Danio rerio: one gene and its partners. The protein of the gene in region 3 binds, or shares a complex with, the protein of the main gene of each other region. Links are inferred from orthologs where the notes say so. Each region holds a gene or a part of one and is shown on either strand. Other genes may lie near its edges. The genes, in order: polr1h, tbp, taf1a, taf1c, taf1b and polr2f.

Evidence for each region.
Region 1: taf1a (region 3) and polr1h share a complex: the UniProt entries of both Homo sapiens proteins name them as parts of the pol I pre-initiation complex. The link is inferred for Danio rerio from reciprocal best matches to the Homo sapiens genes TAF1A and POLR1H.
Region 2: taf1a (region 3) and tbp share a complex: the UniProt entries of both Homo sapiens proteins name them as parts of the transcription factor SL1/TIF-IB complex. The link is inferred for Danio rerio from reciprocal best matches to the Homo sapiens genes TAF1A and TBP.
Region 4: taf1a (region 3) and taf1c share a complex: the UniProt entries of both Homo sapiens proteins name them as parts of the transcription factor SL1/TIF-IB complex. The link is inferred for Danio rerio from reciprocal best matches to the Homo sapiens genes TAF1A and TAF1C.
Region 5: taf1a (region 3) and taf1b share a complex: the UniProt entries of both Homo sapiens proteins name them as parts of the transcription factor SL1/TIF-IB complex. The link is inferred for Danio rerio from reciprocal best matches to the Homo sapiens genes TAF1A and TAF1B.
Region 6: taf1a (region 3) and polr2f share a complex: the UniProt entries of both Homo sapiens proteins name them as parts of the pol I pre-initiation complex. The link is inferred for Danio rerio from reciprocal best matches to the Homo sapiens genes TAF1A and POLR2F.

What each region holds. Positions count from the first base shown.
Region 1 is NC_133194.1:29,753,805-29,757,890, reverse strand, and holds the start of polr1h (DNA-directed RNA polymerase I subunit RPA12), read left to right. Parts: upstream 1-1,286; 5' UTR 1,287-1,327; exon of another isoform or gene 1,328-1,452; intron 1,453-1,805; 5' UTR 1,806-1,807; coding exon 1,808-1,925; intron 1,926-4,086. UniProt on the Homo sapiens protein: Core component of RNA polymerase I (Pol I), a DNA-dependent RNA polymerase which synthesizes ribosomal RNA precursors using the four ribonucleoside triphosphates as substrates. Can mediate Pol I proofreading of the nascent RNA transcript.
Region 2 is NC_133188.1:27,589,467-27,592,966, forward strand, and holds part of tbp (TATA-box-binding protein), read right to left. Parts: intron 1,513-3,500; coding exon 1,421-1,512; intron 1,318-1,420; coding exon 1,150-1,317; intron 137-1,149; coding exon 42-136; intron 1-41. UniProt on the Homo sapiens protein: The TFIID basal transcription factor complex plays a major role in the initiation of RNA polymerase II (Pol II)-dependent transcription.
Region 3 is NC_133195.1:55,153,363-55,156,862, reverse strand, and holds part of taf1a (TATA box-binding protein-associated factor RNA polymerase I subunit A), read right to left. Parts: intron 2,761-3,500; coding exon 2,603-2,760; intron 1-2,602. UniProt on the Homo sapiens protein: Component of the transcription factor SL1/TIF-IB complex, which is involved in the assembly of the PIC (pre-initiation complex) during RNA polymerase I-dependent transcription.
Region 4 is NC_133196.1:7,074,665-7,078,164, forward strand, and holds part of taf1c (TATA box-binding protein-associated factor RNA polymerase I subunit C), read right to left. Parts: intron 2,005-3,500; coding exon 1,827-2,004; intron 897-1,826; coding exon 759-896; exon of another isoform or gene 688-758; intron 1-687. UniProt on the Homo sapiens protein: Component of the transcription factor SL1/TIF-IB complex, which is involved in the assembly of the PIC (pre-initiation complex) during RNA polymerase I-dependent transcription.
Region 5 is NC_133195.1:32,286,268-32,290,524, forward strand, and holds the start of taf1b (TATA box-binding protein-associated factor RNA polymerase I subunit B), read right to left. Parts: upstream 2,801-4,257; 5' UTR 2,708-2,800; coding exon of another isoform or gene 2,690-2,707; intron 2,603-2,689; coding exon of another isoform or gene 2,504-2,602; intron 406-2,503; coding exon of another isoform or gene 318-405; intron 213-317; coding exon of another isoform or gene 115-212; 5' UTR 1-114. UniProt on the Homo sapiens protein: Component of RNA polymerase I core factor complex that acts as a GTF2B/TFIIB-like factor and plays a key role in multiple steps during transcription initiation such as pre-initiation complex (PIC) assembly and postpolymerase recruitment events in polymerase I (Pol I) transcription.
Region 6 is NC_133178.1:1,278,189-1,282,192, forward strand, and holds the start of polr2f (DNA-directed RNA polymerases I, II, and III subunit RPABC2), read right to left. Parts: upstream 2,801-4,004; 5' UTR 2,778-2,800; intron 2,121-2,777; 5' UTR 1,989-2,120; coding exon 1,969-1,988; intron 1,724-1,968; coding exon 1,654-1,723; intron 644-1,653; coding exon 513-643; intron 1-512. Other genes in the region: uncharacterized protein, read left to right, coding at 3,615-3,636, 3,912-3,971. UniProt on the Homo sapiens protein: DNA-dependent RNA polymerase catalyzes the transcription of DNA into RNA using the four ribonucleoside triphosphates as substrates.

The DNA of each region.
Region 1 (4,086 bases), on a different chromosome or scaffold from region 3:
ACGGTATGATAACCTTGGATAAAAATATCCCACTTTCACAACATTGTGATTACTGCTCTAAAATATATTATTTTTAAATATCTGAGTTTATTTCCCATCTGAAAACAATACATTTTATTTTGTAAAACAAAGTATTTTGGAGCAGTAAACATGTCTGGCTAAATAATTCAAATGAATCATTGACTTCTGATGTCTTTATTAGTTTCAAAACACAGATTTCTTTACAATTTATAGCGGCATCTTTGGATATCTTTTCTGCTGGAGATACTGTTGTCCTAAAAAAAAAAAATGTAAATAAAAAATCTCACACATACCTTCGGAACAGTAAAGCAGAACAATTTGGTCGAAATTAATTAAAACCAGTCAAACTATGGTATACCTTGAAAACTGCTATTGTCCCATGCTTAATATCAACGCACGTTTATATTCCCATTGTTTGCACATTTCTGCTGTGTAATATAGATTTAGAGTATATAGATACACAATACAGAGTAAAAAGGTCCAGAGCTTATCATTGTTGTGACATAAATTGTATCGCAATTCGATACAATATCGTTTATCGGCCCAGCTCTACATTAGTCCTATTTAATTGTTATTTTTTTCTGAGAAAAAAAATATGAAATATCATTAAATTTGTTTTACCATGATAAAAAGACACACACTACAATATCATTCAGTGAAACCACAGTCAGAACAAATTTCTCCTTTTGCCAGAAGTTTTTTTTTTTTAAACAAATAAATAAACAAACAAAATTAATTGATTACGGAACACAATATTTTGACATACACGTGATTTAGAAAAGCGTGTTTGCTTAAATTGTATTCGATTATATTTGTTTGTGTAATATATACACAAAAGCTAGAGACTTGTAGCTTTTCAACAACTATTAATCAAGACAATATATTAAAGAATAAAACCCCATTCTCCAGCACTACAATAGCAAAAAAAAACTTAATTCATAGATAATGTTTTATGCTAGCCCACACACCCGTAATTAATCAGTTATGTCGCTTTAAACTAACAAACGATTTAAGACGTAACACATTAGCACTTAGTTAGCTAATCCATTAGCCCAAAATAGGCAGCGTGTGGTCAAAACACTACGACATTACATTGCTGAATGTTTTATGACGGAATATAAAGTGTATTATCACTTCTCATGTCGATTGTGGTTTTTAATAGTATTAAATAATCGCAAATACCTCGAAACACTGTTTGAAGCAGTTGGATTTGACTGCACCTGCCAGATAGATTGTCTACAACGTCATCAACTCGCGACGAATCTACTGTTTTGACGAAGGACCCCAACATGTGGAACTGCCTTGAGTAAAAACCTCTCAGTTTGTAGAGAAGTTTGTATTTGGTTTGTATTTGTTACTATAACTAGCGTACATATCGCAAGATTTTTGCATCTGGTAATATTTAAGACCGCCGTGTTGGCGCTTTTATAAGTAAGTTTCTAGTTTTGATTAACGTTATATAAAAAATGTATGTACGTATGTGTGCGTGTGTAGTTTTTATAGATTATTAATTTATTACAGGAAACTTTACAATACAATATATAATACTGCAATACTATAGTAGTCTCCAATTTATTTTTTAATAAAAAAAACGATTTAAATCACTAGTTTTGGTCAAAAACCAATAAACTATGGGTAGTGTAGCAAAACATGGTGAGTTTGTAGTTCTTACGTGATTTACTAAAATTACCATGTTTTTATATTATTTGTGTTATTGTACTATGGTTAATTTTTGTTATTGGTGACTAAAGTCTAGTTACTAACATTTTTTTCTCTCCTTTAAGAAATGTCGTGTTTTAGAGGAGATGTCGACTTTTGTCCTGAATGTGGAAACATTCTTCCACTACCCAGCAGGCTGAATACTATCACCTGCCCACGATGCTCCTTCAAAATCTCTGTTCAAGGTGAGAGTAAGATTAATATGTCATAAGTAATTTATATAATATTTTATGAGATTATATATTGGCCCTGTTTCAGAAAGGAAGTTAAGTAATAGCTCAGAGTATGTTTAACCCTGAAATGAGAGAAATTTTGGGTTTTCCGTTTTAAAATGGCAGGTTTGTCAAACTCGAGAAAGCAGGGTAAGTCAAGCCTGTTTCTGAAAGAGAGGTAACTTTGACTTGGTTGTTGCTAGATCGAATATGTTTACGGCTGGAAGGTGAAGAGAATTATTTATATTATTTATTAAATCCCCCGTTTATTGTATTTTATTAACATCTACCCTCACCCCAACCCTAAACTCAACCAACAAAGTAATGTAGAAACAGTAGTTGTACTGGGTATAATTTACGTTACCTATTAAATTATACAATAAATTGTATTTTTTAACGCCTTCCCCCAGCCCAACCCTAAACCCCACCGTCACAGTATTGTACAAATATTCATTATTGTTATACAGTGTCATAACAAAATGCTGCTATATTGATGTGCAGATCGCACTTTCGGCCAGCCGTGTATCCGATCTAGACTTTACCCTTTAACTCAGAGTCAGTTACCGTGGTAACTTACTCTATGAACCTAACCTGGTCAGGAGCCGGTTTTATTCTCTAAACTCTGAGTTTCTGTTGGTCTCCTCCCCTTTTTTAAAGACAGAGTGTATTTCTCACCTTGGCCTTGGTCATTCATTGCCTACATTTCAGTCACACAAAGAACATGGTTATGAGAATGGCTTGTACTTTTTGGGAACATTACAATTAGATTCAATACCATAGTTTTAAGTTTTAGCTTTGATATTACTGCAAAAAATAAATAATTATTAGAATAATATAATTATTATTTTAAATTATTATAATAATAATTATTATTTTAAAATAAAATAATTATTTAGAACGATTATTACTAGTTTTAAAAACTATTTTTAGTACTGCTAAAGTCTAAATGTTACTTACATTCTAAATGTTATATCAACCTCTACCACTTGATCAATAATAAAGGCAGACACACAAGTGCACTTTCAAATCTTAAACTGATCAACGTGTGTAAAAGTGGGAACCTTAAATTAAACATTTCCACTGAACATTAAGCTAAGGTTATATGCATTTTTTGTCAGATTTGTTGTAGAAACTATGCAGCAGCCTATTTTATGTAATTTAATGCAATTACATTTGAAATGACTTCAAAATTGGTGACGCGGTGGCGCAGTGGGTAGCACGTTCGCCTCACAGCAAGAAGGTCACTGGTTTGAGCCTAGGCGGGGTCAGTTGGCATTACTGTGTGGAGTTTTCATGTTCTTCCTGTGTTGTGTGGGTTTCCTCCAGGTTCTTCGGTTTCCCCCGCAGTCCAAAGACATCACATGCGCTATAGGTGAATTGCGTATGCTAAATTGTCTGTAGTGTATGTGTGTGAACGAGTGTGTGTGGATGTTTTCCAGTGATGGTTCAGGCTGGAAGGGCATCTGCTGCGTAAAAAACTGCTGGATAAGTTGGTGGTTCATTCATCTGTGGTGACCGCAGTTTAAAAAAAACCAAGCTGAATAGAAATTGGGCGAGGCAGTGCTGTCGCCTCACAGCAAGAAGGTCGCTGGTTCGAACCTCGGCTCAGTTGGTGTTTCTGTGTGGAGTTTGCATGTTCTCCCTGCCTTCGCGTGGGTTTCCTCCGGGTGCTCCGGTTTCCCCCACAGTCCAAAGACATGTTGTACAGGTGAATTGGGTAGGCTAAATTGTCTGTAGTTTATGAGTGTGTGTGTGAATGTGTGTGTGGATGTTTCCCAGAGATCGGTTGTGGCTGGAAGGGCATCCGCTGCGTAAAAACTTGCTGGATAAGTTGATGGTTCATTCCGCTGTGGCGACCCCGGATTAATAAAGGGACTAAGCTGACAAGAAAATAAATTAATGAATGAAAAGAAATTGAACGACTTCAATGACTTCAAAATTATGGCCAATTCCCCACTTTTTCAAGGTAAAAGTGTATAAACATCACGCATTACTTGTTCTTTTATTACACTTAAATATTTAAATACTTTAAATGTTTTAGATTTAAGCATACACATTAACTTGTGCAGCTATCTTTTTTTCACGCTAACTGTCTCTGTTTCACTAATGCAGTTGTGTTGCTTTTTTTTAATAT
Region 2 (3,500 bases), on a different chromosome or scaffold from region 3:
AGGTACTATCTGTGCCATTTCAAATGTAACTATGACCTCACCTGTGAGTACGACTTTGCCTGAAACAAATATTAAAAGAACGATTCTGGGTTTGATCATTCTGTAGATTAACCCTGGAAATAACTCCGGTTCATAGCTGGGGAGGAAATATCAGCAGTATATTAGAGTTTAGATCACATTTATCAGTCAGATTCCAATTTCTAGTCAAAATAGTGCTCACCAAGAAATAACAAACACACACAGCAAATACTTCAGTATAATAGAAGCAAACACTTATTTTTCTAGAAATGTCACTTTTTTTATGATCATAAAGACATGCAGCATATATCAGGCTACTAAAAACAAGCTCATTTATTTTTCTCTTCTAATACTGGTAACATTTAAAACATGTTCTGTCTCCAGTGACAAAGCATAACTGCACTTTGGGCATCCCAAGTTCAAATCCTGGTATGAGGAAATTTCTCTATCCAGTGCCCCTTTTCCTGCCAAACTTCTCTTCCCATCTAACTATTGTCCAATCACAATAAGTGAGAGGAACAAAAGCATGTTAATAATAATAATAGTTTGATTTTATTCAGGGTCACTAGTAGTCAATTTGCATTGTATTTAAGGTTCTGTAAAGTGCTTTTAAATGTGGGTTTTTAATTCTGACTTTTCCCACCAGAGTCTCCGCTTTGTTTCTCCATGTTTAAAAACAATATCTAGATTCTACACTGTAAAAAAAAAAAAAAAAAAAAAAAGTTTTTTTTGCTGCAAAGCCTTTTTTTAGTAGACTTAACTTTCAACCCAAAATACTGCACAAGACTCAAAACTTCTTAAAGCAGGTTGCCTTAATTTTAATTTGAGTCAACCTTGTAGGATATATCCTATTGGAGTTGCAAATGTGATAGAACCTGCCATGTAGGACTGAAAACTAAACTAAACAAATAAATGTATAAACCAAATAAAAAGTTTTTTTCTGACAGTTTAACTTGTGCCCCCAATTGATGCGCATTGTAGGTTTACAAATTACTTGAAATAAAGTAAGAAAAAAAAATCAAACTGAAATCACGTAGTATGAAATAGAAATTCAAATAAATTCAGAAAAACTCAAAGTAGTTTAAATAATCAACAAATTAATAACAAACTAATCAAAACCAAAAGACAAACCTGCTAAACTGCTGGTGGGTAAGCACCAGGCCCTCTAATCGGATGGGAAACTTGACATCGCAGCTCCCCACCATGTTCTGGATTTTGAAGTCTAAGAATTTGGCAGGGAAACCCAACTTCTGCACCACTCTGGCATATTTCCTAGCTGCCAATCGAGACTGTTCCTCACTGTGGCAGGAAGTTCACACAAGAAAGGTAAACTCACATACTGCTGTTTGTTCATCAAGAATGTAGAAAGACACAACAGCAAGTGTGCAGGTGACATTCATACCTTTTGGCTCCTGTGCACACCATCTTCCCCGAGCTGAAGATAAGCGCTGTTGTTCTGGGTTCTCGTATTCTCATGATGACGGCAGCAAAACGCTGAAAGAGTTATCAATGGATGTACAAAGTTTGTTATTGTAATGAAACTTGAAATAATATAAAACTTTGTTAATGATGTAGATTTTCTTTGTTATTTTGTTTTACTCTGTATATGGTTTGATTTTGTTGAATGCATTAAGTTGTGGTTGGCGTCTTTAATCATGACACAGAGATTACTGAGCCTACCGAATATATGGTGCATATAGTAATGGACATGAAGCAAAGTCATGGAACGCTAGGTGAAAAATGCCAAAAAGGCACAAGCATATGTCTGATTCACGGATTCCCCGTTTATGTTTTAACTCCTGGTATAAGGGAAAATAAGACTATTTTAATTTATTTAATTTATTAGGCTGGCTTGTGTAGCAAGCCAGACTACTGTTATCCTATTAAACTTATTATTATTATTATTAGGCTGGCTTGAGAAACAAGCCAGACTACTGAAATCCTATTTAAACTTATTATTTTTTTTATATATTATTCTTCTTCTTCTGAGACTAAAATTCAAAATCTATCTCCTCCTAGAGCTTTCGAGCTATGACCACCAAACTCACACCAGACCTCCAAACTATTCTGACTCGGTATGCCATATCTTTTCCGACTGATCCGACTTTCGATTTTCCGAAAAACGTCCCGGGACCGTCGGAAAAATCCCATAGACTTAACATTGGACCAAACTTTGTGACCTCATAACTCTGCGTCAGACTGTCGCACAGAACTCTAACTGGGCTCATTTAACTCAGACTATCAAACTGCCAATGACTGATCACCTTTAAACTTTCTAGCCACGCCCTAGCAACCACTTTTGGACCCTAGAAACTGTCCCATAGACTTCCATTCAAAAGACTCTCATTGACTTAACATGGGATCAAACTTTGTGAGGTCATAACTCTGCATCAGACTGTCCTACAGACTAATGGCTGAGCTCATTTAACTCAGACTACCAAACTGCCAATAACTGATGAGCTTTTAACTTTCTAGCCACACCCTAACTACCAGATACTGCACCCTAGCAACAACTGTCCCATAGACTTTTATTGCAAAAGACTGTCATTGACTTAACAATAGATCTAACTTTGTGACCTCAAAACTATCTATCTATCCTTTTTTCAAAATAGATAGATAGATCTCTATCTATCTATCTATCTATCTATCTATCTATCTATCTATCTATCTATCTATCTATCTATCTATCTATCTATCTATCTATCAATCTATCAATCTATCTATCTATCTATCTATCTATCTATCTATCTATCTATCTATCTATCTATCAATCTATCTATCTATCTATCTATCTATTTATAAACTACTTTAATCTATCTATCTATCTACCTATCTATCTATCTATCTATCTATCTATTTATAAACTACTTTAATCTATCTATCTATCTATCTACCTATCTATCTATCTATCTATCTATCTATCTATCTATCTATATATCTATCTATCTATCTATCTATCTATCTATCTATCTATCTATCTATCTATCTATCTATCTATCTATAAACTGCTTTAATCTATCTATCTAGCTATCTATCTATCTATCTATCTATCTATCTATCTATCTATCTATCTATCTATCTATCTATCTATCTATCTATCTATCTATCTATCTATCTATCTATCTATCTATCTATAAACTGCTTTAATCTATCTATCTATCTATCTATCTATCTATCTATCTATCTATCTATCTATCTATCTATCTATCTATCTATCTATCTATCTATCTATAAACTGCTTTAATCTATCTATCTATCTATCTATCTATCTATCTATCTATCTATCTATCTATCTATCTATCTATCTATCTATCTATCTATCTATCTATAAACTACTTTAATCTATCTATCTATCTATCTATCTATCTATCTATCTATCTATCTATCTATCTATCTATCTATCTATCTATCTATCTATCTATCTATAAACTACTTTAATCTATCTATCTATCTATCTATCTATCTATCTATCTATCTATCTA
Region 3 (3,500 bases):
CATCTTTTGTACGGGGATGTAAACATGTTTTAATCAGCTGTAAATATGGCCAATTTCCCACTGCAGTCAGAAATCACCTGGACTTCCTGCAGTTCTCCTGGACTTGATTTGCAGTTTCAGTAACTTCAGTACTGGCTTCCCGAGGGAGAGCAGGAAGTTGGCGCTTGGATTGTACGAATTCATATGAATTAGCCACTAAATCAAAAAGCTATGAATTGCTGTGAGATTGTGTTGTCCTCAGGATCCAGCTCTATGTTTTATGTTGATTGTATTAAAACAAAGAAAACAATCTGAAGTTGTTGTTTTTAAGTTATATATACCATGATTTTACCAGGCCAGCCCACTTGGGATTAGATTTTCCTCCATGTGGCCCCTGAGCTAAAATGAGGTTGACACCCTTGAGCTAAACAATCCGTGCTCTGACATCAAAAGAAAATGGGTGCAGGCCAAAAGTGTTAGTGTGAAAGCACCCTGAGTGTTTGTTTGAACCAGATCCTTTGGTTAAAGGGTCACGAAACACCAAAACACATGTGTTTGAGCTGTTGACAGTGGTATATGTGTCCCACACTGCTAAAAACACTATCAGGACACCTATATTTCACTAAAAAGTGTAAATTGGTTGTTTTTTGCGTTATTTTAAGCAAATTCGTACTTCCGGTTTGAAACTAATTTTTGAAGCTGCGTCACGGTCATGACATAATAGCGTGTATTCCAGCGTGCAGACTGGACGTCTGTGCCTGTGAGTATAGCTGCGTCCCAAATGGCACACTATACACTATGCACTCATGCACTATGTACTTATGCACTTACACACTCAACAGGATAGTATATGTATGTAGTGTCGTCCCAAATGGCACACTAATGTTTTTTTTACTAAACGGAAATTCAAACCGTTTCCCTGATGACGTTTGACGGTTGCCAAATTAGTGAAATAAACGACCGAATTATCAAATAATACCTATCGTGAGAATTGCCGCATTCACCATCGGGAGGCGCTATAATCACTCTCGTAGGAGAATTTTGCTTTCACTATCCAAAATAAATAAAGTTATCCAACATGTGCGTCCGATAGCTCCGCCCTTTCCGCTACGTAAGCAAACCTGCGGTCGTTGAGTGCGTGAAGTGTCCATCAATACACACTTCATTTTAGCGGCTGAATGAGTGCATCATCCGGGTAATTAAAGTGCACTTATTATTTTAAGAGTTTTCAGTGTGAACACACTACTTACACTATTTATACTACAAAATGGCGTAGAATAGTGCATAAGTATGCGATTTGGGACGCAGCTTGTGTCTTATTACGTCTTACAGTGTGTTGCATTAATGCATGAGTAAGGCTTGGTTCAAACCAATCAGCGCGCTCTATTGTGCAACTTCATTAATATTCATTACTGTCACAGTGTTTAGACGACAGAGACGCCACGTTGTGTTGGCAAAACAAGCGTGAAGTGTTGCTTTTATAGTTTGCTGCAGTTAAGTTTTGTTTTCATTTTCTCTCTGTGAGAGCTCAGCTGGAGTCACGTGTGGATTAACAGTGTACGCGACGCTCGACAACAATAACTTACGTGTCTAAGGAGGATTATTGTTTACCTGAGAGCTGTTCTCATCTGCAAACGCTGAAATCCGGATACGCTTGTAGTCTTCTCTTCATAAAGACGCGGCTCTAGTTGCTGGTGATTGTCCTGTCTCTACAGATTTGGTAAGTGAGCGACCAGTGCTCTTTGTTTATTCAGTTTGTTCGTATCGAACTAAGTTAACTATTGCACAGAGTGTAAACATGTTAGCACTACAACCAAACTTTAACCTCATGTAGGGTTTTTACCGCATTTTGTAACCGGAATAACACAAGCGGCTTTCTGACACTACCTGCCGTGTGCATCTAAGTTTCCGGGAAATGCGGAGGTTTTTTTCTCTCATTCGCCGTGCGGTATCAAACATTGCATGAAAAATACACGCTTAGAGCAGTTCCTCCAATCAAATATAACGTGTGTCGAGAGGGGCATGAATGAATTCCCTGAATGAAAGAGCCAAACTGCAGTTAAAGTCCAACGTTTAATAATTTGGCAAATAATTCGACTACAGATGTCCATGTAGGTTAAACACCATCACTTTCTATTTTGACTGAAACTCGCGCGTGCCCAAATAGACACTCCCACACCCTCCCACTTTAGTTCCTCCGACACTCCCCCCTAAACAGAGCTGGACACGCCCACTTTTCTGACTTTTTCCAAAGTAGAGGTGTGAAAACACCCTGCTGAAACGAGGGGGTTTCATGGCCCTTTAAGTGTGCAACCCCACTTACCTAGATTGCCCATGAGTTGTAACAGTATATCGACATTGATCTCTCCTCTGGAGGCTGTTATCAGTCTCACACTATTTTTGTCTATTTTCTGAATGTTGTGATAACACCATGGTGGAGTTGTTCTGTTATTAATTCAGCAAACAGGATTGTAAATATAATGAGTTGTTGCTCTCTCTCATTCACTGTGCTCTGAGTTTACCAACTATGACGACTTCTGCTGCTGAGAAACCCACAAATGTGAAAAGGCTCAACTATACACTCGTGGAAGTTTTGGACCTGCTCTACAGTGATATACTCAGCTGTTTTCATTGATGATCCTCAGACAGTCCTTCTTGATGATCATCATAAGTTTATGGTTGTCCATCCAGTCTTTGAGGCTGAGGAAGTCTCTGAAGTGTAAAGGTACCCAGAGCGAACGCCGCACCTTCCACTCCTTCTGTATAATCTCCTGCCACTTCCTGAAATCAACGTCAACACAACCAATGAGCAACAAAACACAACTGACACCTACTATTTATACAGCTGAATGCAAAAATATACACCCTCCTGTGAATATTTCCCAAATGCTGTTTAATTTAGACCCAACTTCCTAGCCCATTCTGTGGAACCTAATCTGCGCTCAAGTATTTTTGAAGCCATATCAATATACAGATGAAGCTGAGAGGATGGTACATTTGAGAAGTGTTCAGATCTACTACAGGGTTCAACGCTAAGGATTTTTTATACGGGTCCAATCAGGCCATTGGTTGAGATTTTTACTTAACAAAATTTTCACTGGCCCCACCAAAAAAAAAAACTAAAAAGTTAATAGCTATTTCTTAGCCACATATTTTAAATAATGGCAAAATTATGCCTGTGAATCTAGAATTTAAACATTTTAAATATGTCAATAAATGAACAATGAGCAAAATTCTAGATTTTATGCAAATGAAAGAGCGGTATGAAAAATGTGCTGGTATTTTAATGCAATTGTAAATAATTTTTATAAAAATGGCTTGCCAAACTGACAACTGTTTTTTGTTTTAATTTTTTCAGTTTCTAAATTTTGTTCTAATGTAATTGTCTGCTTCTAATACTTTAGAAACAGACGTTTTCATTGTTTACAGCCTCATTGTTTAATTTTGCCGCCATGTTGCCATCTTTTCGCTGTACTGGTTGTACAGGTTACAAAAAAAAAAAAAACGTGCTCAACTTTACT
Region 4 (3,500 bases), on a different chromosome or scaffold from region 3:
CAAAAGACCCTGCATTTATCACATGAAAAAAAATAATGCACGTTTTGTAGTTTGTAGTCATGCCTGTGTGATTTCTCAGATCTGAATTGAAATTTGCAAAACAGTCGGTGCATTTCTCAAAACAACACAAACAAATAGCAAAACACCATGGATGACCAGCAAAAGCCAGTCTCTTGCTCAAAATTCATAGTTCATCTCTCAAATTTTCTCATTTAGCGACTTTGATATGAAGATGAAGTTGATAATATGTTGAATATGTTGAGTTGCTCAAACTTTTAATGCAAATACATTAAGCCATAACAATATATATTGTAATTTGACAGTTGTACTTAAGTTGAAAATGTATTAAAAAAACAATTATTTAAATCACAAATAAATAAAATAAATTATAAATAAATAAAAATAAAACCATGTTTTAATGTGAATAGATATTTTAATAATTATTATAAGATTCTATTATTATTATTTTACTATAAGTTGACCTACAAATGTTGATTTGAGTCAATGAACTTATTAGAAAAATTACCAGTCCATAATTTTCTTAATTATTCCTATAATAAAAATAATCAGGAACATGTTCACTTTCACTGTAATAATTAGGTTTGTATAATGAGCACTTCAGACCAACCTGTAAGACACCATGTTAACATATGCTACACAGGTAATACTTGAACTGCTACTTCATACAGTCCATATTTAATGCAAATCAAAACTTATTAATCTTCAGCTGTTTTAAATGTTTGCAGGACGTTTCTGACCTGCAGCAGGGCTGTTCAGTCTCTTCTGAGCGATGCGTCTCTTGTGCGGCAGCTGAAGGTTCAGGTGGCTTAGACTGTCTTTTGGACACAAAAGCTTTTGAATGGGTCCTTGAGTCTGACAAGCATGTTGCCTGCCACCTAGATGACACAAAACAAGAGATGATATGGGTTGTTGCATTTTCACTGTCAACACACGACAAAAAAAAAACTAATTAGTATTACCATCACTTAAAATGCAGAAAACATGAACTCCTTGTTATAAAAATTTCAAAACTGTCTTACGGTGTGACCATTTCAAGCATAGTTCAATAAATTACAGCTCTTATAAATTAAAAAGAAATCATTCATTAATAAATACCTCTGATCTTGTTTTACAAGTGTCTTTTTTAGTAACTCGCAATTGTCAAGCCATGTCCTTTGGTGTGACACTATTCACCTTATTCTCCGTGGACGAGCGGGCACAGCCATTTCAATCATTTTGCCTCGAGACTTCCGGTTTCATTCACTTCCATTCATTTTAGATGTTAAAAACAGCTCGTTTTGCAGCTTGATGTTGCAAACCGATATTTGTTTTTTGTCTTATTCTATTTTGTGTGTATAGTCATGCAAACAGTTGTTTGTCGAGCAAGTAGTTTGACCGTTTTCTACCATTTAATATTCCTAGTCATTTCTCCCATAGGAAGCTACATCGGAAGTCCCAAAACAATTGCAAAAACGAGCGCACTTTAACATGCTATCTTTAAATTGGGCAAGTCCATGGAAAATTTAAATTAGCTGAAGGACCCCATTCAAGATCATGTCACTGAAGGCCCCTTGTGAAGCCCCTGACGTGCAACTGTTAATTTTGTGTCTCAGAATTGATCACATTCATTCATTTACTTTCCTTCAGCTTAGTCCCTTTATTTATCAGGGGTCATCACAGTGGAATGAACCGCCAACTTGGCACATAATAATGCATAATGATGATAATAATGCACAGCAATTTGCTTTGAGTGTAATGATTTGCCATGAAGGAACATGTTATGCAATACAATATGCAACTGTTGTTAACAAGCCCAAAGCTCTCACCCGTGTACTGCAGTAACATGATTTCCTGCGACCTCTGAGCTCCCAGCAGCACTTTGCAGCTTTGACTCTGGGATTTTGGAGGTAAAGCGCAGGTGTATATTGGTGGAAAGTCCATCATGTGGTCCCATTTCAGCATAGGAATACTGGGAACCCGCTCGTCCATGATGTAGGAGGAAAACTGCAAGCGAGGAAATAGGAAGTTATTTTCTTTTGTACAGAGAAGGGATTAGATAGATGTGCTGAAATTCAATTAAAGCCTCGATAAAATAGCTCTTATTTTTCTAAGCCAGTGATCCCCAACCCCCCAGGCTGCAATGGATCAATTGGTACTGGGCTGCACAAGAACTCATTCATTATTTCCGTTTTATTTATTATTTGAGTCTGAACAATCTTTTATTTTGACAGTATTCTCTCGGTTATATCTAGGGCACTTGAGTACCAAAATTTAACCCACATCCTAGAAAAAGCAGACGTCTTAGGAAAGTTTCTTTGCAAAGGGGAATCCAGCATGCCTGTGAAAGATGATCAACTGGTGGAGATCGCAAATGACGGCGGCTTTAGAGTCCATTCACATATCGAGTTTTTTCTGTGTGCAAGTTCGTTATGAAATATACACATTTCGGTAGACTAATTACTTCAGACAAACACAGAACAACCAAACACTGCAGTGCTGCTTAATTTTCTCCATAAATAAGCAATGTTTTGTCAGCTCGTCATGGGCCACGGTAAAATTATCAAGCGTCGACTGGTCCGCAGTGATAAAAGGCTTGACTAAAAAGGGACCACCGCTCTAAGCAACATCAGTACATTTGTGCAAGTAGTTCTTATTGTGTGTATTACCTCTTACAGATTGCTAGCTCATTTGTAAGTAACTAATGTTGGCTAACTAAATTAAATACTTATTGCATCATTATAATTGTGTTTAAATTACTTTTCCAATTACTTTGTCTGAAAAGTCTCCTAATTAATCAATAAGTAATTTAATCACTCAATACTGCTTAACTCATAAACATTAACTTGTAGACATCAATGCACAGACAAATGTACAGAATTGAAAGAGTTATTTATGTTGACCTCTTAGTTTAAAAAAAGGTAAACATTATGTATAAAATAATAAAAAAAAAAAGAGTTTCATAAGACCAATCCATATTTCATACATATCATATATTGGCTTAAATTCCTCACTCGTTTCGAAAGCACATACAATTGTCGGAAAAAATGGGTTATTATGCAAAATATGCGAATAAAAAAATACATCTAAATTTACTCTGTTTCTCTAAATTGATTTATACAGAACTGATTATTTATTTACAGTACTTCAGACAAGTACATAAAGTAATTTAATTGCCTAAAAAATGAAAAATAATTCCTTAATTGTTCACTGGAAAAGTCATTTAATTACAGTAACTAGTTACTTTCTAACTTTGTAGGTCACTTTGAACGAAAGCGTCAGCTAAACCAGTGTTTCTCAACCACGTTCCAGGAGGACCACCAGCTCTGCACATTTTCCATGTCTCCTTAATCAAACACACCTAATTCAGATCATCGGCTCATTAGCAGAGACTGAAATACCTGTAATGGGTGTGACAAAGGAGACATCCAAAACATGCAGTGTTGATGATCCTCCAGGAACTAAATGACTAACTGTATATGTAAACAGTATAATGTGTGTTT
Region 5 (4,257 bases), about 23 Mb from region 3:
TATACAGAAAATTACATAATTACATAAGAGATCAATGTACCAAATATAAAATCTAACAACATAAGAATACTGTGCAAACTACTTAATTTGATTCAGTAAACGAAGAGCACTAACCTCAAACTTCATACAAACACCTAGACTGACCAAAGCCTTGGCCTGGTGTTTGAGGATGAACTGAAATCCCTCACAGACCAACCACTCCCTTTCAGAATCTGAAAACAGACATAAGAGGCGTCAGGTTCAATTTTTCATTTTAGCACAATATCCTGTTAGAAATGATCAACAAGAATAAAAACAGTAAGTAAAGCTGGACTGACCATGTTTTTTCTTCTTGGGTTTCCTGACTATTGAGATCCTGCCATGCTTATGATGAAGGCTGGTAACATCCTCTACCTCCCTTATTTTCTAGAAGATGTTAAAACAAGCAACATGCTTTAGGTGTGTAAAGCTTATAACATCATGCCATTAAGATGAGACACTGTAGACAAAACAGTCATCATAAAGTGTTTCTTTTATAGCACTATAAATTTGTGCCTGCAGATTTCTATTATATTACACGTTTTCAGATGCTGTTTTTTTTTAAAAATTGGTTTTGTTCTCCTGAAATGAGCCATAAAGCTTCTTCAGCAAGTCTTACACCAAACGTTTTTGTTTTGTTTGTCAGTTTAAAGGTGCAGGAGGTAATCTGCCAAAATGCTATCCGTTAGCATATCTTAGAAAACCCCAGCCATCCCAAGCCAGGACTCCTGAAATCATGAACGCGCAGCTTAAAGTTGACAGCAGACAATCACTAGATTGTGTCATTTGCCAGTTAGAAAACTTTATAGTACTTATAAAACTACAATTCCGAACGACATACTGTATTATATATCTAGCACATTTTCAGTTCTGTCGCAAGCAAAACTTGTCATGATGTACAATATTTAATGCATGCAAGGATCGCTGGTCTCACTCTTTCACACGATTTGTCCTACAGCGACTACTGTATGCTTAGTGGTTGGCCGGTGGCATGCAGGAATTACACTTATTACTAAGCCATATTTACATGCTATTTCAGGCTGAATATTCAGCGTAGCATGGTAAACAATATAGGAGCACTTCACAGATTGTGAGTAGCCCCTTTCACACAGTGATACCGGTAAATATCCGGAAAATTTCCGGAACGACTTTACCGGTATATTCAAAAAAGCCCTGTTCACACAGGTAAGGACGTTACGGAAATTTTCCGGAAAAGAGCATTCACACATCCATTCCAAAATACCGGTAAATTCTGACATCATTCACCACAAATGAGCTTTAAACGGCTGCGCTTGTGTTTGTAAACATTTGACTAAATTACAAACTCTGTGGATGATCAATATTGTGAACAACTTTCGCAGGATCACTTTCGCATGTCGAGATGTTCATAATATCTGCGTGTGCAGGCGCTCACAGGCTGTTTCACAGGCACACGCAAAGCTTGAAGGTAAACAAACAACGGCTTATCATAAGCATCTCATCGATGATTATTTACACAGTTGGCATTAAGAAGAACATATAAACGTGATCTGACTAACTTCTAGCAGCTAAATGTGTCTGGAAAAATATTCAAAGGCTTTTATTCTCACAAACCCCGCGGACGTAAATGCGTCTGACTGTTGTGATTGGCTAAAGCAGACGTCTCACGTCAGCACGTTCTAGACGTGCACGCGCTTATTACGGGAATCTTCCTTCTGCATTCACACAGCGCAGCATTCCGGCAAATTGCCGGTAATGTTACAACTTCTCTTTCCGGAAAATAGCCAGAACGAATTTACCGGTATTTTCAAAAAGGACCTGCCGGAAAATTGCCGCCAATTTTCCGGAAAGGTCTGTATGTGTGAAAGGGGCTAGTGTTAAACAATGAACCAATGTGATTATAAAACTAACTTCAGCTCAGTAGAGCAGGCTGGGCAGAAAAGCGCTATTTACTGATGTTTTTTTTTTTTTGTTAAACTAAATAAAAATCTACATTATCGATGCTGTAAAAGGTCCCTTATGCAATTGAAATTAGTCACATCAATCGTTTGCCTGAAGATTCGGCTGAACAACACTTCTGTGCATGTAACCCATTCATAAAACCTGCATAAGCTTTACGTGACTAAAATACTATTTTAGTTTTCATAAAATGAAAAGTTTTCATTTATGTCTGCTTTCAATAAAAATAAATCAATCAACCGGGGGAGTATGATAATAATTAGTAATATTTATTTACCCAACTCCTGCTTTAATTAGCTTTTTGTTTAATGATTTTTTTTAAATTAATTAACCAATCATTAAATTAAATGTTAATATAACTATTAAAGTCAGCAGCATAATGAAAATCAGCAGAAAAGTGAGTAAATTATAATACATACGACAACTTCATACCTGTCCATGCATTTAAACAAGCTCATAGGAATTGGAAGAACTATACATATGTAAAAAAAAAGTGATTTCTGTCTATGTATTAATGTACTATATATTAAAATATCTATTAACCCACCTCGATGACATTGTGGCAGCTCTTACAGAAGAACTGACCCTCGTCTGACACTCCCCAGTCCACAGCAGCGCACTGTCCGCATGGCTCACTATATCCACCCTGGAGAAACAGCACCGCAGCTCACAGAGTATAACGAATTTCCACATAACACTGCAGACTGACAAAATACACACTAGAGATACTTACAGTAATTTGTTCGTCCATGGTGTAAACGTAAGCTGAACTTCAAAACATGAGACAATTTTTGTTTTCTGTTTTCAGCGTGAGCATACTCGCTTTCAACATGGCCGACTATACGTTTTTCATAATAAAAGTCACTCGTTTGTTCAGCGTAATATTTTACAGTAGGCCCTGGCCCACTGATCTAGAACCCTTTGGTAGGGCTATTTCATTTTACTATATTGTGTAATATGTATATGTGCATGTTAATTACAATTTTGATGTTTATTTTTTTCTTCGTTTACAGTATAACTCAACTCATTTACACGTATAATTTTAAACATCTATTTTATTAATGAAATGTAATTATATTGTATAAATATATGTGAATCAAAATAATAATAATAATAATAATAATAATTCATACTTCAAGTTTAGATAACAAGGCATAGCCCCCAATTTGCACATTGCCACATTGTAGGAATTATATTATCCCATATAATTATTTTATGTATTTGCTCTATATTATGTTGTTAAACATTTATATTGTCTGGAATGTAACTAAATTATTTTTAGGCTTGACAGATAAGTAATAATAATAATAATAATAATAATAATAAAGTATTGACTCTATCATGAATTCTCTATTAACTTATCTTGGATACATAAATTGCGATTCATAATTATTTTTATATAGAAATTATACATTTATTTTACTTGTTTTATTGTAAATGCATGTCTCTCCTGCAAAACAAAGATGTGTCACAGTCAATGGACAGTAGATGGCGCAAAAATCCATAGCTAGATAAAACTGACAGTAAATGGTGGTAGGCTACTCATTACCTGGATTACAATCAGCCTGCTTGAGTCAGAATTTCTATTGTTATTCTTTAATAAATTATAACAAATAGTAGGCAAATACAAAATAGTGTTCATATTCTCGTTTGCTCATCATGACCTTTCTATTGTTTGTTGTTAAAAACCCTAGCAAATTTAAGATGCCTCATATTTAACATTTAAACTATAAATATATAAAGTTCCAGTTAATGCAATTGTGGCTTAAATGTGCAATGTAACAAAAATAAAATAAATTGTGCCCATCAACAATGCTTCCTTTCCTCCTCCCCACCTCTTTGAAGAAAAGCTGCTTCTTTCACCACTGGGCCAATTTCATGGTTTACTGCCTCCCATGCGTTTCCTCGTGTTCTCTATGCAAAACACAGCATTGTTGGCAATGGAAATCAGGAACAGTCAGTAACTGCAGGTGTGGGTTTTGTTCTTCACACTGAAACAGCGGATTGCTCTCCCTACAGTGTGGCACGTTTTACATCCCCACTTGTCCTCCACAGACGCCGCATAGCGTGGATAGAGATTGTGGGAGGCTGTGGGCGAAAAGGGAAAATTATACAGAGTCTAGCTCACTTGCTTATCTGGTATATAAATATTACATGCACTCTCTGCCTTTCCCATCACGACTCTGCTGCTTCCTGCTGTTCACGGCACCTGAAGTTGGCTAAAAGGAAACAGGCACTTTCCTTGAGCTGCTCAAGACTGAGAAGAGAGACCTTATCTGTGATTAAACCATAAAATTAAAT
Region 6 (4,004 bases), on a different chromosome or scaffold from region 3:
GGGTTTTGCACTTTAATGCTCCTCTTGAAATGAATGCTAATCAAACGGATAAGAGGCAGATCATTTTGATTGTTTTAGGGAAAAATTTCAAAAGTAAGTTCATGGAAAGTTGAAAACAAAATATTTTCTTAAGAATTTTTAGATATTTGGACTAGAAACGAGAGAAAGCAAAGTAAGAAAAGCATTTGTTTCTCCACAGAAATCAGTCAAACAGAGCCAATCAAACTCTCTAGTGAAACTGTATTATCACAATATTTATCACAGAAAAATAAAACCTCACAATATCAGACACCAAGATCAGCAAGTTAGGCGAAACCAAAGCAGTGCTTCAATCCACAGTTAAACAGAGGACAGAGAAAAGGACACATGAACAGAGTATGAGCGTTCAGATTAATGCTGCGAGATGATTCAGAGATTGAGGCATTGCAGTGTGCATCTCCATGTTTGGTAATGTTGTGTATTTGGCAGTGTGTGTGTGTGTGTTGAGTGGTGATTGTGGATCGGTCACTCACGCAATCTGCAGAGCTCGTGTTCCCAGCACTCGCGCTCTCTCGTATTTGGTCATGTATTGGGTGGTGATTCTCTTCTGATTGGCCTGCTGTCCTTCACCTGCCGGCAGGATCTGAACATTCTCTTGGTCCTCCTACACACACACACACACACACACACACACACACACACACACACATACAAAACATTGGACAAAAATAAACACAAAACACACACAAACACATACACGATACACACAATTAAACAAAACACACACACACACACATATATACATACACAACACAGAAACAAATGCATGCTCAAAACACACAAGCATGCACACACCCACACAAATATGCATAATGTACACAAATGCTAGGACAAAATACAAACACAAAAGCATGCACAACACACACATGAGCAAGCACAAAACACGCATACACAAACACTATACTATAGTGGAGTACTTGATTTGATCTGTTGTGGTGATTCTACTATATCATTCTACTATATTGGCATCACGGTGGCGCTGTGGGTAGCACAAGCGCCTCACAGAAAGAAAGTTGCTGGTTCGAGTCCCGGCTGGGTCAGTTGGCATCTCTGTGTGGAGTTTGCATGTTCTCCCATGTTGGCGTGGGTTTCCTCCAAACACATGCACTATAGGGGAATTGATCAACTAAACTGGCCACAGTGTATGAGTTTGTGTGGGTGTTTCCCATACACATATGCTGTGTAAAACATATGCTGGATAAGTTAGCGGTTCATTCCGCAGAATAATAAAGAGACTAAGCCGAACAGAGAATGAATGAATGTATTGTACTTTAGTAATATAAACAAATAAGCCAATACTTGTGTTTTTACTACAGTAAATTGTAGTGTATTGAAGTATAATATACTCCATAGTTGTAGAAATCTATTGTATACTACAGTTATTCTCAGTTCACTATAGTTAATATTACAGTATGTTGCAGCATTCATTAATAACCAGTTGAAAAATACTATAATATATACAGCAAAATACTACAGTGTGGCTCAAATTATTAAACTGTAACTCTGTGGTATTTCTCATGTGGAAATAAGAGAAATCTTTGACTATAATACTCCATTTCTCAATGATTACCAGGCAGAATATAAGCAAGTATTTCTCTGAAAGTGTGATCTTACATCTTCCACATTCTCCAGATCATCCAGAGGCTCTTCATCTTCAACATCATCGAAATCTCCGTCATCAAAACTAAACAAACAAACAAACAAACTCTGAGATAAACAAACACGTCATCGACAATAAATCACAAATCAAGTCTTCGCTATATCGGGTAAATAAGACTCAGCTGTCAGGTCTGTGTAAGTCACATTCATCGTTATATATGTTGTGTCGCAGTATGGAAATGATCGCATGTTGTTGTTTTCCACATTCACACACTTTAAACGTTCGAAAACAGTAAAACATTGAGCGCAACACACGCGTTTGAAACTCACTTGTCCTCGTTATCCGACATTATTAGTGTTCTGCGTCTCCTACCCCGGTTTAATAGGTAATTTTTTAAGAAAAATGTTATGTCTGGAATCTCACAGCTAGTTTACCGCAGCGCGACTCCAAGCGTGGAAGGATTTTCCGGTGTTGCCGCAGCGTCACTGTCCGTGCAGAAACACGATCCACAGCACTGACGTTCCGCAAACACGCAAATCGTAAAGCAGTAAAAAAAGACACAATGTAGGAAATGTTTTTATTTATTTATTATTTTTTTATTAACAAGAACCAGCATGTACAGTTTTCTTATACAATACAATCACTTTACATTTCTTAACAAGACAATGTAGGAAATGTGTGATGGTTTATAAAACAAAGACGGGATGCTAAAAAGACGTTTCAACGCTGTAAAACTTTTGGTTATAAATTTTCAAATAAATCCCCATATCTAATATTGTCCTGTTCTAGCCGTAACAGCAAACAGAGTAGCTGTACTTTGCTATTTATTAAATTACTTAATAAAATGTATTTTACGTATACCCCCCAACCGTCACAGTACTGTAAAAATATTAATTGTTCTTATCACAGATATTGATGTGCATATCCGCAGCTGAATCCTATCTAGACTTTACCCTGTTCTAGCATCAAATTGACATATTTTTACATTTAAATGTCTAACAAGACAAACATATGAAGATAAAAAGACAACAGAACTGAACGAGACTATAAAATATAGGCTACTATGTCTACTTATTTGGGAATGCGAACTTGATCTGGTTCACACTCCTACACCTAGTATATGACCAAAGCGACGGCGTTCTTCTTCTTCTTCTTCTTCTTATAATTTTACGGCGGTTGACATCCAGCGTTTTGGTGCATTACCGCCACCTTCAGCTCTGCACTGTGGACTAGAGGTTAGGTTTACAGACTAATCATTCCCCCCCACTTCCCTCTTTAAGCGACGGCGTTGGTGTTACCCGCCATTGAAATAGAAGAAAAAAGAGGTGAAGAGTGTCTTGTGACTTCACAAAACTCCTCCCAAAATACAGGTTTTTCCAGTTTTCAAGAAGGAAAAGACTATCTTCGACACGGTAAACATTTGTTTTAAATAATCAATTTGTAAAATATGCAAATGTATAGATGTAACTGCGATGTTTGGAAGAAATTGTTTATTTTGGATGTATTCAGTGTGTAGTTGCAATCAAGCCTTAGATTTGGTTGGTTTTACTTTCAGGTGTGTTTGATAACAAAAACAAAAATTGAATGTAGCCTAGGCCTATTCTATAACCTATATCTGAATGTGCAGTGTCAGCTTGTTTTAAAGAAATGTAAATGTAAAACTTTTACAGCTGTTGAACTTTGTTGTCCTCCTTTCATTAAACATGTTCACTTTGTTATAAATAGGCCTATTTGATTTAATCACTATACAAGAGCGCTGTTTACCGCATATGTTCAGGGCAAAAAAGTGTAAGTAGATGTTCATATAGACTACACAAACATTAACATTGGTAACAGAGTATAAAAAAGTTACAAATCAATATATAACTTGCTAAGTAAAATCTGTGTAATCTATGACAGGGTGATAAAGAGACAATCATCAGGTGCAAATAGAAAGTTGATGGACTGAAGACTGAAGAAAAAACAGAGAATCAACATGTCCGGCAGAGAAAGCAGAGGTCAGAGTTTATTCATCCAAACCGGCTATTTCCTAAAGTCAAAAACTAACCATCACAAAACCAAAAGAAAACAGCTCATAAAGATGAAGACGTGGCTTTTTAAAATAAAGATGTTAGAATTATACACTATGAAATGGCTTTATATGGTTTGAGCAATTATCTGTCATAATGTTCACTACATGTTTACCGTTTTCACTGTGATAAAATAATAATGTCCTGTAGTAACACTCCAGTGCTGATCTTTCTAACATGTTTTTTAATTTAATGTTTTATAGCTGTTGTTCCTGGTTCTGCTCACAAGAGAAGTCAGAGCATAGAGCTAGACGCACCCAAAAGTAAGTCCTAATATTTTTAACACTGATAAGTAG